Linked DNA regions of Astyanax mexicanus. The protein of the gene in region 2 purifies or fractionates together with the protein of the main gene of each other region. This does not show direct contact. Links are inferred from orthologs where the notes say so. Each region holds a gene or a part of one and is shown on either strand. Other genes may lie near its edges.

Region 1 (7,929 bases), on a different chromosome or scaffold from region 2:
AAATTTGATGAATCAAACTAATGACTGACCATAGACTAATCTAAAACTGGCATAGGCCTGGCAGAGGCCTAAAACTGGCATAGGCCTAAAACTGGCATAGGCCTAAAACTGGCATAGGCCTCTGCTGTAAAAAAAGAAAATCAAGAATCGAATCGTGACCCTAAAATCAGAAATAAAATCGAATCGAGGATTTAGAGAATCGTGACACCCCTAGTACGTAGTCTAATACACCCCATTCAGCTGACCAAGCTCTCCTGAAGGCAGAAATTAGATCAGGTCAGGGGAATAATTACTTTGTAGAGCTGAACATTTAAGCGGGAGCAGGGTTGGTGAATCCTATTAGATACATAGTCTTTTCTTTTGAGTGAAGCTTCAGTGTTTGTCTATTGTGTTTAGCAGAGGTTCTGTTAGAATAACACTGTGGCTCTTTGCCTTTGTGTGTGTTGGCTTTCCCTCAGGTGTTTCAGTGACCTCCAGCAACACTGGAGTCCCTGACATTTCAGGGTCTGTTTACACGAAGACACAGGTGAGTCCAGTATAAACAAATTCTTTATTATTTCTTTTGTGACACTTTTTTCTGTGTTTTTTAGTGTTGATCTTTTCTATTTTTCTTTCCAGTCATTTGACAAGCAGGGTTTCCACACGGGGACACCTGGCGCCTCCTTCAGTCTGCCCTCAGCATTGGGCAGTGGTGGTCCAATCAATCCTCCGGCTGCAGCTGGCTATGCTCCTGCCCCATTCATGCATATTTTGGCTCCCCATCAGCAGCCACATTCCCAGATGTTACACCACCACCTACAGCAGGATGGACAGGTGAGGAGCCACCATGACTATTTTAGAAACTCTCTGAAGTAATGCATAAAAAACCTGACCAATTGGTGGTTGCATTAAATTACAGAGAAGAACAATTGTTAATCACAGTAACTTTGCAATGAACAATATTGTATTTCATGCTATTATCAGTACCACTGACATAAATGGTCTTCGATGGCCATGATCTTACTTTGTTTAAAGAGCCTTAAGATTTTGATAATGTTTATGTTCATCCATTTAAATTTGAATATAAAAAAATAAATATCCTACAGACATAAAATATTTGCCTAGACTTAAACACCAGAGTGAGATCAGTTTGTTAATACATTAAACAAGGACCATATAAGTCCTATAAAGAGAGACCAGTCTGAAGTAGCAATGGGAGGTTAATAATTTTTTTTTATTTAATGTAATCCTCAGAATGGTGTAATAGAGATTGTACATCTTTATATATAGTAGCTGCAGAGAGAATCTCAATAGACATTTTGCTTCTTTTTTTTCCACAGATTTTCACATTGTACATGTTTCCTAAACTTAAATACAAAAAAGTTTCTGGTTGCACCATGTTTAATATTTATTTATTTTATTTTTTCTACAATATTGCCCAGCCCTTGTCTGAAGTTGAATGTCTGAATGACCCTGCAATTTTACTGTGGAAATTTAAGATTTATCAGACAAGGATTTATAAATTTTGTTTTTCCAGCTCCATCATGTCCACTCCAATAAATCCTGCGTAGTCTTTTGCAGTTGTAGCCTGTCCAACTTGAGGGAAAAATGTGTTGTGAATTTGAAAACATCTTTTACAATTTTGGCACCTCAAATCAGTCTGACAGAATTTTCACACTCTATTTACATCTATAGATGTGCTGCTCTGTTTTTCTTCTTCCCTTTTTTTATTATCGGTCTGTGTTTTAAAGTGTCTGTTTCTCTATCTCTCTCTCTCCCCACCCATCTGTTTCAGAGTGGCTCTGGACAGCGCAGTCAGAATGCTTCCATTCAGCAGAAGTCCCAGATCAACAAGTCTGCTTACAACAGCTATAACTGGGGAGGCAATTAACCCTCCCGATATTCCAATGTGGTGTACGACAGGCTAAATTAGGGGACCCTTTTCTTCCTCCCTAAAAAAGAAAAATAAATCCCCTCTTTGCGCCCTTCTTCCACTGCCCCTCTCGCCTCTCCCTGTCTAGTGTCTCTGCAGTACCATCTTGCACCAGTGGTGGTGCTGTACTAAGAGGTAGCACTGTGGAGAGGGGCAGGGTGGCCAGGGGAGGAGGAGTCTTAAAGAGGAAGGGGTTTGGAGGGTGTATGGTTCTAGTAACTTAGGCCTTCAAGAGCCAAGTATTGAGTGTTTGGAGTTTGTATTGTGTTAAAAAAAAATGCCCCAACCCCTTCTCTCGTTCTGTCATATGTAACATAGAGCTGTTTTCTAAAGGTTTTTTTTCTTATGGATGTTAATTTTTGGAAGGACTGGGGATAATGGGAGAGAAGTTGAGGGTTTTTGTTTGGGCGTTCCTCTGTTGGTCTCTCGCTCGCTCTCCCCTTCTTTCCCACTCTTCTCTACTTTGCACCCTGCTTGGGCTATCAGTTTTCAAACCCAGATACACCATCTTAGTGGTTGTGTGTGTGTTTGGGTTTTGTTTCCCTATCTTTTTTTTTTTTTCTCCTTCCTTGTTAGGTTTTTACCAATTTTTATTTTTGGGGGGAGGTATTGCGCTAGATCGGCTAAAGCAGTTGTGGAGTTTATTTTTTACCAAATATAAATATATAGATATATAAAAATGTATACGAGGGCACAAATATGTTGGATATGTTTCAAGTGTGGGAGTGTTCTTTTTCTTTTCTTTTTTTAAGTACTTTTTTTTTTTTTTTTTGTTTTCTTTGGTTTTCTCCCCTACATACACGAGTCTCTAATAAGGGTGGCCATTGGTGTGTGAATGTTGGACTCACTTAAAATAAACCCTTTGAGCCCGTAATTATTGTACAGGTTTGGAATGAAGAGGACACTGGTCATATGCATACTCGAGCTCCTTTCTATGAAGCATCCCAGTGTATTGTTTTCCCTTATTTTTCATCCCGTTGCTCTGTTTTGTGTGGGTGGGAAAGGGTAGGATAACCTGGCATGACTTCTGGCCTCAGAGGCATCACAGCGTCTCTGCTGTTGGACAGATGCTGTGAACTGGACAGGTCAGAATATCCGTAGGTCGCTCTGTATGTGCAAATATGTTGGCATACATTTTGTTTTTGTTTAATTTTATTTTTTAATTTTTGTTTTCTTCTGACATTATACATTGCAATCTTCTCCCTCTCCTTAGAGTCATCACCTTTCCCCAAATATTATTTTATTAATATTATGATAATTAGGAAAGTACTGATGGAGAGAATTGTATTATGGGTTTCCTTTTTTGTCAGTGACTTTTCTTTTTGTACTGTGCGTTTTAAAAAAAAAAAAATTAAATGGATAAACTTGTCTTGTACATATATATATAAAAACACAAGTACTGTAGTCCATGTTTGTTCAATGGCTTTTTTCCTCCCCCTCTCAATTCACTTACACACAGACTAAACATTTTTGTTTCATAATGTTTTTTTTATTTTGTAAAAAATATATATATTATAAATATTAAGTAAATAAACAGGAAAAAGACATTTTCATCATTTTGGATGTGAATGTCTTTTTTAAGAAAAACACTTTTCTGGATGTCCCATGCTTTCTAAACAGTCCTCACTTCTGTGCTAATCTGAAGAAGATCCCAGATTTGCTCAACACCTGGACAGCTCTTGCTTTTACCTTATGTTGCAGGTTTGGGATTTGCATGTTGCGTTTCATGAAAAAAGGTATTTAAAGTGATTTGACCACACTAAGTACTTGCTTTTTTGGGTTTCTTGGTGTGAACATTACCAGTGTGAAATCCTGTCAATCTACCACAGTCTGATGTGTGGGTCCACCCATCCCTATATATGTCAAATACAAACCAGCTCTTAATTTTTGTAGTGTAAACTGTCTTTCCATATCCAGTATCGACTTAAAATTTTTAGTTTTCCCTGTGCTAATATTGGCACAGCAAATCAGTTGAAAAAAAAAAAAAAAAAAAAAAAAAAAAGTTCTACAATTATAACTCTGTGGGGTTACAGGGGGTGTAAAAGTGATTGACAGCTTGAATGCTAGAGACAGTTTACAGACCTGCATCATGCCCCTTCTGATTTACCTGGAGTAGCTGAATTCTAAATGAAGACCTGAGTCTGGTGCTGTACTCATTTTTTTTTTATGGACTGTACTACTTGATGTGCAGTGCAGTGCACCCATTGTGGATTCTGAACTCTGGATTAGTGAGGTGGTTCTGACTTTCCATGTAGGAAATCAAACTGTGTGAAGAACAGTGTTCTAGTTTAAATTTCTTACAGGTTTCCACACTTTGAAAACAACTGACATTTATAGACAAATTTAACACAGACTTTAGTATTTTAAATTTCAATTAAAAGTCTGGGTATTCTGCTGCTCTGACAAATCCAGAAACTAGAATCAAAGTTAATAAATATCAAATGTTTAATTATTTTATTATTTTAAAGTTTTTAAACTCCAGCTAGAAGACTTAATGCTCTGGCTGTAAGTTCAACATCAGCTCGTCTACCAGTATTACCCTGTTGAAACATGGGAATATACAAGTCCTTTACTCACGCACATTTTATAAGGAAAAAAAAAAATGCCATTACCAATATAGCTACTCATGTGCTTTTCAATATTTACTTTTTCTATTTACAACAATCTAACGTGGTTAAATAGAAACATCAATAGGCAAATGTCACGATTAATATATCCAGCAACAAAACTATACGAAAATAAAGAAAAAACACTTTTCAAATGGTGGGATTTGAAAAGCTTCAACGTACCAATGGATTTATTATTTTTTTATATATATATATATATATTAGTTGAACTCCTTGTTTACCAAGGTGTGTATAATTATCTATGTCTAAATAAACATGTTTGAAATTAAGGGTATTTTATTTTATAAAATTGTAATTGTAATTGTATAATATTTACCTTTTATATACGGGGATAAAGAAGTGGGCGGGATCTCCGTGCTGCGCTACGTCACTACCCCCTCTAGTCACGTGACCTGGTTGTTTGACGGTGGTCGGTTGGGCCGGTTATGGCTGCTCTCTCTGCGCTGCTCTGAGTTTCAGGGGTAAATGAGCGTCTTTGATCTGTTCCGCGGATTCTTCGGGCTGCCCGGGGGGCAGTACGGTGGACACGGTCGCAGGTGGGTGGAGTGGTTCTGTGTTTCTGTCTGCGGGAGAAAGAGGCAGCTGAACTAGTCCGTGTGATGAAACTCAGAGAGCCTGACAGCAGCTCAGCGCTATGTCATCATAATAAACAGAGGAGAGCGAGAAAGTTCCACAGCGAGTTAGCTACAGTACACTAGACTAGCTTAGCCTAGCCTAGCCTAGCTTAACTATACAGAGTTTCACATCATAACTGACATTTAATAACAGAAACAAACCCCCAGACTCTTAATTACACAAAACATTGTAAAGAAGTGACCGAGGAGTTGAACCTTCAGATAAATACAGACAGCTAAGCTAATTAGCAAGTAAGCTAACTACATAGCGTTCCTAACACTTTCAGTCTGTTCACCTATCTCTGCCATCAGATCATGACAACACTAATAACAGCACATTAGCCCCAAATAACACTTAAATAACAACATAATTAGAGGGTTTTCCTTATTATTACTATTATAAACTCGAATTACTGATCTCTGACCTGCAGGTTTTACTAGAGCTCCACTTTCCCTAATCAGCTATGCTCTCTGTACTGTAGTGAAGATCATATTGCCAAGCAAACTTATTCTGAACACACCTTTGAGTAGTGATATTATACTATTGATTTACATTTACAATTAAAAAACAAAGTTATAATAGTAAATAATAATAAAATTAAGTTAGTAAAATTTTACTAAGTAAATAACTAAATTAAATCCATAATAAAGTTTTTTGCTAGTTGATGTCTAGTGCAATTTTAGAGATTGTGTATTGTTTTAGAGATAATGTTATTATTACTAGTCCCACCTAGAGACACAGTAATTACCTATATGATGGAAAACTGCACATATTCGAACTGCACATTAATACTAGACATATCAATCAATTAATCAAGCTTTTTTTTCTCTCGGAAATACATTGAAGGTAACCCTCATTTACAATGTAAATGTAAATTTACAAAGTAAAGTAAAATGATGAGAAATAAAATGAATATTAATGAACTAAGAACATATGAATCAAAATAAAAACATTAGAATAAAAAAATATTAGTAATACATAAATAAAAAAAATAAATAAATTAAAATAAAATAGGAAAAAGATAAACTCATTAAAAAACTCATTTAAAACAATCACAGGCTTTCTGATTGTGATTAGAAACTATTATATATTAAATAATTCTGTTATTCCAGCGAGCTGAGCTTCAACGTTTCCTGTAAATTCTAGCTCGCTGGTACACTGTAGCTAAAAGCAGATTTTAAGTATATTGTGAAATCTGGGATTTTAATATATATATATGTATAGTATATTATTACTAGTAAAACTAAAGTCATAGCTGACCTGTGAAATGAGAGTTTTTAATAGTAAATGATAGTAGATTCTAGTAAATGGAAGTGACATTTTAGTTAATAAAACTGTTGGTCATACACAAAGTAACCTTACTTTTGTAGTCACTTGTTTATGTCTGGCTGGCTGGCTCCCTACAGGTACCAGTCTGTTTTCAGTGTGTGGTTTAGTTGTTCTAGAACAGTTTCTGTTCAGTCTGTTAAACTGAGTTTTTTTAATGAGCTTCTCTCAGCAGGGAGCCCTTCTTCGATGGAATGACCCACGATGAGGAAGATGATGATGATGAGGATGCTGTGTTTCTGTATGAAGATACGAGCCGCCCGGGGGAAGAAGATCTGTTAGACGAGTCTTTCCGGTTCGGGTTCAGTCTCGGACCCAGCGGAGTGCGCATACATGAGCCGCCGGGGTTCGGGCAGATGTTCAGGGAGATGGAGTTGATCTTGGAGGGGCTGGGCCGCTTTGGAGGAGATGCGTTTTCTTCAGGTGTGTCGAGTAATGAAGTAGAAATGCTTGGTTACCTCACTTTAGTAGACATTTTTGTTATCTGTGCTTTACTGTAGAAAATTATTTTTCTGCTGACTTTTTACTTCCATATTTTATAGTGAAGAATAGATTCTACATATCTATAATTCAACCTGAACAATGAATGTTAATTTTTTTCTCACCATTGGTTGCCTGTATCTCATTAAGTGGCAGCAGTTGGCTCGTTCACTGTTTCCTGCAGTAAAAGGAAAATATGCCATCTGCTGGCTGTGATGAAAATCGACGGTAAACAGGACTATCGGTTGAGAAAAAAAAAAATGTAATCGCCCAATTTTCTGGGATTACTTGTAATTTCTTCTTATAACAAATATAATAAAAATAATTGATATTTAAATGTAAAAAAAATATAAAAAGTCAATGTAAGGTTATAAAAGGTGAAATTTTATTTTTAATTAAATATGTTCATTTAAAGGCGTTTTCACACCTTTTAGGTCTGGTTAAAAGGGACTCTGATTTGTTGTCTAATTGTATATTTTTTCCTTTAAACACACCTTGTCCTTTGTGAGGCATGTTCAAATATTAGATGGCTATAAAAAAGTAAAAAGAAAGAGGAAAAATAAGGAATAGAAAGAAGGAAAGGTTTTCTTTGATGACCAGATTATTAGATCATATTTTTTTTGCACAAATGAAAAATAACTTAAACCTGGAAAAAAATTTTAAGCATTATGGCTGTGAATATAGTGTAACAGCGCATCAGTTTTCTAAGCTCCTACAAGTGAATGCAAACTACAAAACCCACAATTGGTGCCATAAATATATGTGTATATACAGTCACCTAGTAATTGGTTAAAAATTCCAGTTAGGGCCTTCCTTGATTTTTGACACTCATTTTTCCAAGGAATTGTTAGAAACATTCCTTAAGATTGTAGTCCAACTTTTCGTGGTTACATCACACAATTCCTACAAATTTCTCAGAATAATTGTAGACTGCAAATCTCCTGTTTTACCACATCCCACAAAATGTTT
Region 2 (7,069 bases):
AATTCTTTAAAACAAATTTAAGAAAAACTTTTATAGCATAAAAAGATCCTATTATATTAATAAAATCTGAGTAAAGGAAAAGTTTGATTGCTATCCAATCAGAACAGTCGGATCTGACAACAGAGTACAACACTTCTAACTGGTGCAAGTGGTTTAAACACAACACCAAATTGAAACACTGTCTACCACTAATCTTTACATGTAAACTGTTAGGAAACTAGTACCAGTAACTTGGCCTCTTCCTCTTTGAGCTGTTTGGCCTGCTGTCTCTGCTGCTCAGCCGCCATCATCTGATCCTGCAGAAAAGCCAGGGTGTGAAAGTTGCTCTCGCGCTGACGCTGAGCCTCCTGGATCTCGCGCTGCTCTTTGGCCAGTCGGTCGTTCTCCCACAGATTAGCGAACAGCATTTCTTCATCCTTATGCAGACGGCGTGCCTCGTCCCGTGTACGGATTTGAGCAGCTCGCTCCCTGCAGATCTCGTCCCGTCTGCGCAGGGTCTCTGCAGTCCTCAGCTCCTCACACTGCTCTCTGAAATACAAGCGGAGTAAAACACCCATGATTAATTAAAATAAATATTGTATGCCTTTTGCATTCACAGTGACATTCACAGTGACATTAGCACACATGCCTGGAGCAGTGGGCAGACATCGCAGCAGCATGTGGAGTTAAGGACCTACTGTAGCTTGACGAGCCCTGATTTCAAACCTATAATATAACTTCTGCACCACCACTACCCCTAATGGTCACATGTTATTAGAGTAGCAGGTTATTGATGACAGGACTGTGGCCCTTAAGCCCTTAAGTGACAAATGCCCACCACTCCAGGCATGTGTGCTCACTATATATCATTATGTGTTTCCAAAACCCTTTGCATGCTGTAAGTTGCCATTTACAGCATATCCTTTAGATACAGTTATGTTATGCACAGTTAGCAGTAATAAAAAAAAAAAAACATTTGTACCTAAAGAGCTGGTCAAGTTTCTCAGCAGCGACTTTCTGCCTCTCGCTCTCTCTTTTCTCCTGCAGATACTTTGCCCTCGCTCTCATTTTGGTTTGCCTCTCCAGCACAGTCTCGTTCTGCTCCTCTGTTGCCCGCAGAAATTCCCTCTCCTCTGATTCCAGCATCTTACGCAGCCTGTAAGAACAGTAATAGTGTGAAAGAAAAAGAATAAAAGAAGGAGAGAAAAAGTAAGAAACTACTCATAATAAAAGTACGGTAGTAGATTTTAATTAGTGTAAAAATGAACTGAGTTGAGAACCTTTCTCTCCTTTCATCGATGCTCATCTGATACTGTTCCATAGCCTCATTGACCCGCCTGTCAATAGTGGCCGACACCATCCGCTGTTCAGTGTTTCTTTCCCAAAGCATCTTCAGGTCACAGGTTTTCTGGTCCTTGGTGAATTCTAGCACCTTGTTTCGACTGACTTCCTGTTTCCTCCTCTCCAGAATAAAGTAATCTGGGGGTTTGGATGATGGATGCCGTGCCCTCTAAAATATTTTAAATAGATAATTAATCAATAATCATTAATAAGAAAAGACTTCACAATAACAAGTAGGGGTGGGACATATCGTTAGCGATATGAGGAGCTCTAAACTCATTTGGACTTGGCCCCCTTAATAGAATTACTTTTTATAACTGTTGTTTAAAAGCTTTTAAAAATTACATCTGCAGTTTTAAAACATTTGATACTGATTTGTGTTGAGAATTTTTTTTACATTTTTCATTATAAAAATTCTTGATTTTATTTATATACATATATTATGATGTCATATAAAACCCCAAAATATGACAACATGGTGAGGGAACTAGGGAATCAAATTCTGGGACTCCTAGAAGTTCTATGACTGAATGAATACCTGGTAGAGTTGTATGGAGCAGAAACAAAGCAAAATGCAGACTTTCTAAGAGGACACAGTTGCTAGGCTAACTTAGCTAACAAACACAGGACAATAGATTGTCACCAGTCTTACCATAGCAGCAGAAATGTACACGTTTTCTCATTCAATGTATTTTATATATTTTTTATATATTTTTTTACATTTACATTTAATAATGAAGACCTTATATCTACAGGAACACGTGATGAATTGTTCTTTAAACAAGTTTTAAACAAACCAGAATATGTTTTATAATTTAGAGTATAAACTCTAAAGTAGTACATTTATCTTTGAGTATTGAGTATCTTGGTATTTTAATCTCAGTGTCTTCATGAGGGAGTGTCACCTGGAAAAGTTTTCTCAGCGTCTTGAAGGAGTTCCTGGAATACATTACATTATATTAAATACATACAATAATTAAAAATGGGGTGTTTTAATTTGCCTCTTTGGCTTTTAGTGCTGTTTTTTTAGTGCAGTGGGCAGGGTTAAGTTATTTTTTCACTGGCTAATAAACTTTTTCTTTGGCTCGTTTATAGTCTAATCTATTTTTTGTTTTACTGTTTATTATGTTATTCCATATGTGTCCCTTAATTGTTTTTTTTGGCCATAATATTAATCTACAATGTAGAAAAAAACTTACAATAAATAAATAAATAAAAAACATTGAATGAAAAGATGTGTTGAAAAGTTTGACTGGTAAATTAAGTCTGTGAGAATTCTGAGTTTAAACTGTTGAATGGATTTTAAATACTAGATATGTAGCCACTGGCCTGCTGTAATATTTAATATCATATTTAAGTCATATTTATGTAATAAACCTTCCTGATCTAGTTACTGTTTATCAGAATTGAATAATAACACATTGGAGCCTCTGATAAAATAAGACAAAATAAACTCACCACTGCCACTGAGTGAGGGGTGGGTCCGGTGAACTCCCGGCACTGTGTTCGGTGTCTCTGACTCATCAGCATATTGACTAATTAGCTAATTATTAATATTACAAATCCTAAATTTTCCTAAGTATTGCTCTGGGGAGTTTAAACCTGATGGAGGACACTTCTGTTTGCGGTAATGCCCTTCTGTATCCTAGCAACCAGCGATACCAGAGATAATCTACAGAGGAGAATACCCCCTTATTAATGTGTTCTGGGTATGTTTGACACTAGAGGGCGCTCCTGATTGAGCCTAAAATGAATGAGTTCGTATGGAGCAATTAAACAAAATCATATTTGATCAATGTTTGATCGTTTTTATATAAAAAAAACTTTTTTTAAACACAAAACAATATAAAATAATTCAGTACAAGACACAACAATTGTAAAAAAATGTGTCAATAATATAAAAAAAATCCCAATTAATCGCACATTTTCTTCCTTAAGACCAAGCTTTTGATAATGGGTATTTAAAAGTTAAATGAATCAGTGTTAGAAACACTTAGATATGTATTATTGTTGCAACTACTTTAAATATAATTGTCATCAATCATGCTAGCATTATTTTTATTCTGGTAATTAACTGTATTTTTGGGAAAAAACTAAAATAATTCATTCAAATAATACGGCATAAAATAATATAATGCAGCAAAAAATATTGCAGAATATTTAGTGCATGCATATTGCCGCTGTCCAATAAAAAACACTGATCTCCAAAACAGAAAAAACCTTGTAAACTTTCAGTGGAAATCAATATAAAAAGAGTTTATTTCAGTGTGAGGGACAGGTTGTCTGTTCAAATTATGTAGTAAACTGAAAATTAACAAAAATGGAGATAAGTGTTTTTTTTTTCATAGGACAGCGCTGATATAAACTGCTAACTAAAACAATTATACAATAAATACACTTAAAACTTCACAGTAAATAACAGACTACTTTTAAGACAGAACATCCCTATCATCACAATATGGATTTTTAATATCACGATATTTCTGTGTCACTATATATGGTATATATAGGATTAAATAGGATTATTGTTTTATGGTGTATTTATGTTATTTTATTTTAGCCTTCAATCACTTTCTTTATTTTATTTTTTAAAATACCCATTTTCTCCCCAATTTTGCACAGCCCACTCATTAATCACTTGCTTCTAAACTTAATTCTGAATAAGACTTGTTGAGGCTTTTATTTTGAAAAGTGGTGGTACTGTATCGTGCTTCCTGTGAGCGCGTTGCTACTAAACGCGCCAAAGTTTGTTTTGCTGTGTGGCTGGAGGAAGCAGCGGATATATAATATACTCATTAATAAATCGTGTTTTCTGCGCTAACACGCGCTTATTATTTATATGGGAGAATTTCCCCTTAATCCACTACAGAGCTGCGGTGTGTGAGGTGAGTTAGATCAGCGCTGAGACTCAGAAACACTGTTTATTTAACTGCTGTTATACAGTCCGGCTCTCTGACTGTAACGTTATCTGCTGCAGATCACAGATCCTGAACTTCGTCTATATTAATACATATAAATAAATAAATATCAATTTAGGATAAATATTGAATATAAATATATAAGAAGGGTTTAATGGGTAACTGCCGGATTAGATTAATGTTAGAAAAAAGTGAGAAAACAATAGAAACTTTAATAAGAGAAACTCTAACGTTACAGGCTGGCCTCTCAAGAGAGTAGATAATCACTATCAATAGATAAGCTTAATATTGATAAGTTATTGATACGTCAATGACTGTACTGTATCTTAATATTGCAGTTAACTTACAGCATTATTACAACTGCATCTGTATATGTGTATACAAGTGCATCTCCAAAAAAAATAGAATATCATTGAAAAGTTACTTTGATTAAGTAATTCGGTTCAATATGTGATATATGTTATATATTATATAGATGTATTACGCACAGAGTGATCTATTTTAGGTGTTTATTTATGTTATAGTTAATGGTTAATTATGGCTTATGAAAACCCCAAAATCAGTTGCTCAGAAAGTTAGAATATTATATAAGACCAGTTGGTACTTTTGACAGTGTGGGCAGTGTGCCAACTAAGTCCTGCTGGAAAATAAAATCCGATATCTTACAGCCCTCATGCTTACTTCAGCTGACAACTTTTATGGAGATGTGGATTTCATTTTCCAACATGACTTGGTTGGCACACTGCCCACACTGCCAATTATATGATTGGGTTTTCATCAACAGTAAAATAATCAAGATATTTTAAAGTATTGTTGTGATAAACTTAGCAGATAAAGAAATCATTTTGTTGTCGTTTTTTGGAAACAACAATAACATTCTAAGATGATTTTGTATGAAATAAGTATGTAACAAAATAAATAATGTAATATGAAAATAATCTGATATAACAACGCAAATCTGCCATAATACTAAATTGTAGAATATGTATATTTAGTTTGTGTATAAACAACTATACAAAATATACCCTTTAAAGCTTTACATGGCAAAATAAATACAACAGAATACTCATTTAGAAACCTGTTTGTGGAGATTTCTGATCTAATGTTCTGGTTTTGTGTTCAGTGTCTGTTCAATTCAGATAATGGCTGTTCCTTTTGTTCAAGACTGGGATCTGGTGCAGACCCTAGGAGAGGGTGCATATGGAGAGTGAGTGTCCATCTGTGGGCTTTTTCTCTGTGCTGTCTGTTCTGGAACCATTAAAATGATTCTGAATATTTATTTTTTTATGCTGTTTTTTTCAGGGTACGCCTGTTAGTGAACAGAAAGACAGAGGAGGCAGTGGCTGTGAAAGTTGTCGACACATCCCGAGCTAAAGACTGTCTGGACAATGTGAAGAAAGAGGTTTGTGTGCACAAGATGCTGTCACACGCCAACATCGTGCGATTCTTCGGGCACAGGAGTGAGGGGCCCATCCAGTACATCTTCCTGGAGTACTGCAGTGGAGGAGAGCTGTTTGATCGAATAGGTGAGAGCAGAAAACATTGATTTAATGTTTAAATTAAACGTAATAAACCTTAGTCTGACCCTAATTAAATAATTGGTTAAAATATTATATTACATGTAATGTTTTGACACTTGGAGAAAAGGGAACAGCAGTGGTAGATTCCTAAAAACTGTTATTTTTCAGAGATTTGTCATATACTTAAACAGGATTTTCTACACTTTATGCAGTTAAATGTACAGCTGGGTCAGTGTTCTTTTGGCAGTGATGATATTCTTGATATGCTTTAAGGAAAAGCATTGTGAAATATGATAATATATTGTCATATTGCCCAACTTTTATTGGTGTTTGCATAGTTCTGTGGATCCTGAGAAAAATGCAGAAATAAATAAATAAACCAAAAGCACTAAAAACAAACACTATGATGCAGAAAAATGTTCCAAATCTGAAACTATAACATTTGGAGAAAATGTACAAATTGCAGACATGTTAGACAAAGCTTAAAGGACATATTATTCAAAAGCATCCAGTAATTTCTAGGTGAAAAATGTATTATATCAGGTTTAGTATATTCTTGTTTTTCACAGGATGCAACAACAGCATTTTTCCCAAAATTCCCATAATTCAGAGAAAACAATCTTAAACCTGGAGTTTCTAGTAATGGGCATGTAGCCGACTACAGAATGAAGGCAACTACAGGGATCAGCTGGTCTATTTAGCAAATATTTGAAGATAATTAAACATTTATATTTGTGTTGTTTCTCAGAACCTGATGTGGGAATGCCAGAAAAAGAGGCTCACAGGTTTTTCCAGCAGCTGATAGGAGGAGTGGTGAGTGCTGATATTTATTTATTATATTAATTATTTATTAGGGGTGTTCAATATGGTCCAACAATTTATAGCCCAATATTTTTCCGATGATTATATTTTTGACAATACAAAAAATCCTCTGATAATATTATATTTGATCTAAAAATATATTATGCCAACAAAATAAATGTCAAAGCTTTATTCAATGAATGTATAATTTTTGTCTATTTTGTAATCAGTATCTTACCAAAATTGATTTTGCACAAAATGGTAATGAAGTAGCAAAAAATCTATGAAAATATATCTGAAAGTTCCAGAATATTCAGTGCATGCATATAAACTGCTAACATTTTATATATAAACAATTATACAAAAATACCTATTTCATCACATAATACTGATATGGACTTTTAAATGTTATCTATAACGTCACATTATATTGTGTACAATTTATTATAGCTATTATATTTTTTTAAAACTGTAAAGCACTGTAACAGGTTTTTTCTGAAATGTGTTATT

The links.
Region 1: the proteins of chek1 (region 2) and hax1 purify together in Homo sapiens (affinity purification with mass spectrometry; 3 studies listed by BioGRID and IntAct, with this or other methods). This does not show direct contact. The link is inferred for Astyanax mexicanus from reciprocal best matches to the Homo sapiens genes CHEK1 and HAX1.

Annotation. Positions count from the first base shown.
Region 1 is NC_064410.1:27,049,091-27,057,019, forward strand, and holds the start of hax1 (HCLS1-associated protein X-1), read left to right. Parts: upstream 1-4,921; 5' UTR 4,922-5,004; coding exon 5,005-5,075; intron 5,076-6,652; coding exon 6,653-6,903; intron 6,904-7,929. Other genes in the region: ubap2l (ubiquitin-associated protein 2-like), read left to right, coding at 443-526, 619-813, 1,775-1,870. UniProt on the Homo sapiens protein: Recruits the Arp2/3 complex to the cell cortex and regulates reorganization of the cortical actin cytoskeleton via its interaction with KCNC3 and the Arp2/3 complex. Slows down the rate of inactivation of KCNC3 channels. Promotes GNA13-mediated cell migration.
Region 2 is NC_064424.1:6,593,616-6,600,684, forward strand, and holds the start of chek1 (serine/threonine-protein kinase Chk1), read left to right. Parts: upstream 1-4,041; 5' UTR 4,042-4,205; intron 4,206-5,361; 5' UTR 5,362-5,380; coding exon 5,381-5,445; intron 5,446-5,540; coding exon 5,541-5,764; intron 5,765-6,506; coding exon 6,507-6,571; intron 6,572-7,069. Other genes in the region: cfap53 (cilia- and flagella-associated protein 53), read right to left, coding at 225-528, 962-1,135, 1,260-1,489, 2,779-2,850. UniProt on the Homo sapiens protein: Serine/threonine-protein kinase which is required for checkpoint-mediated cell cycle arrest and activation of DNA repair in response to the presence of DNA damage or unreplicated DNA.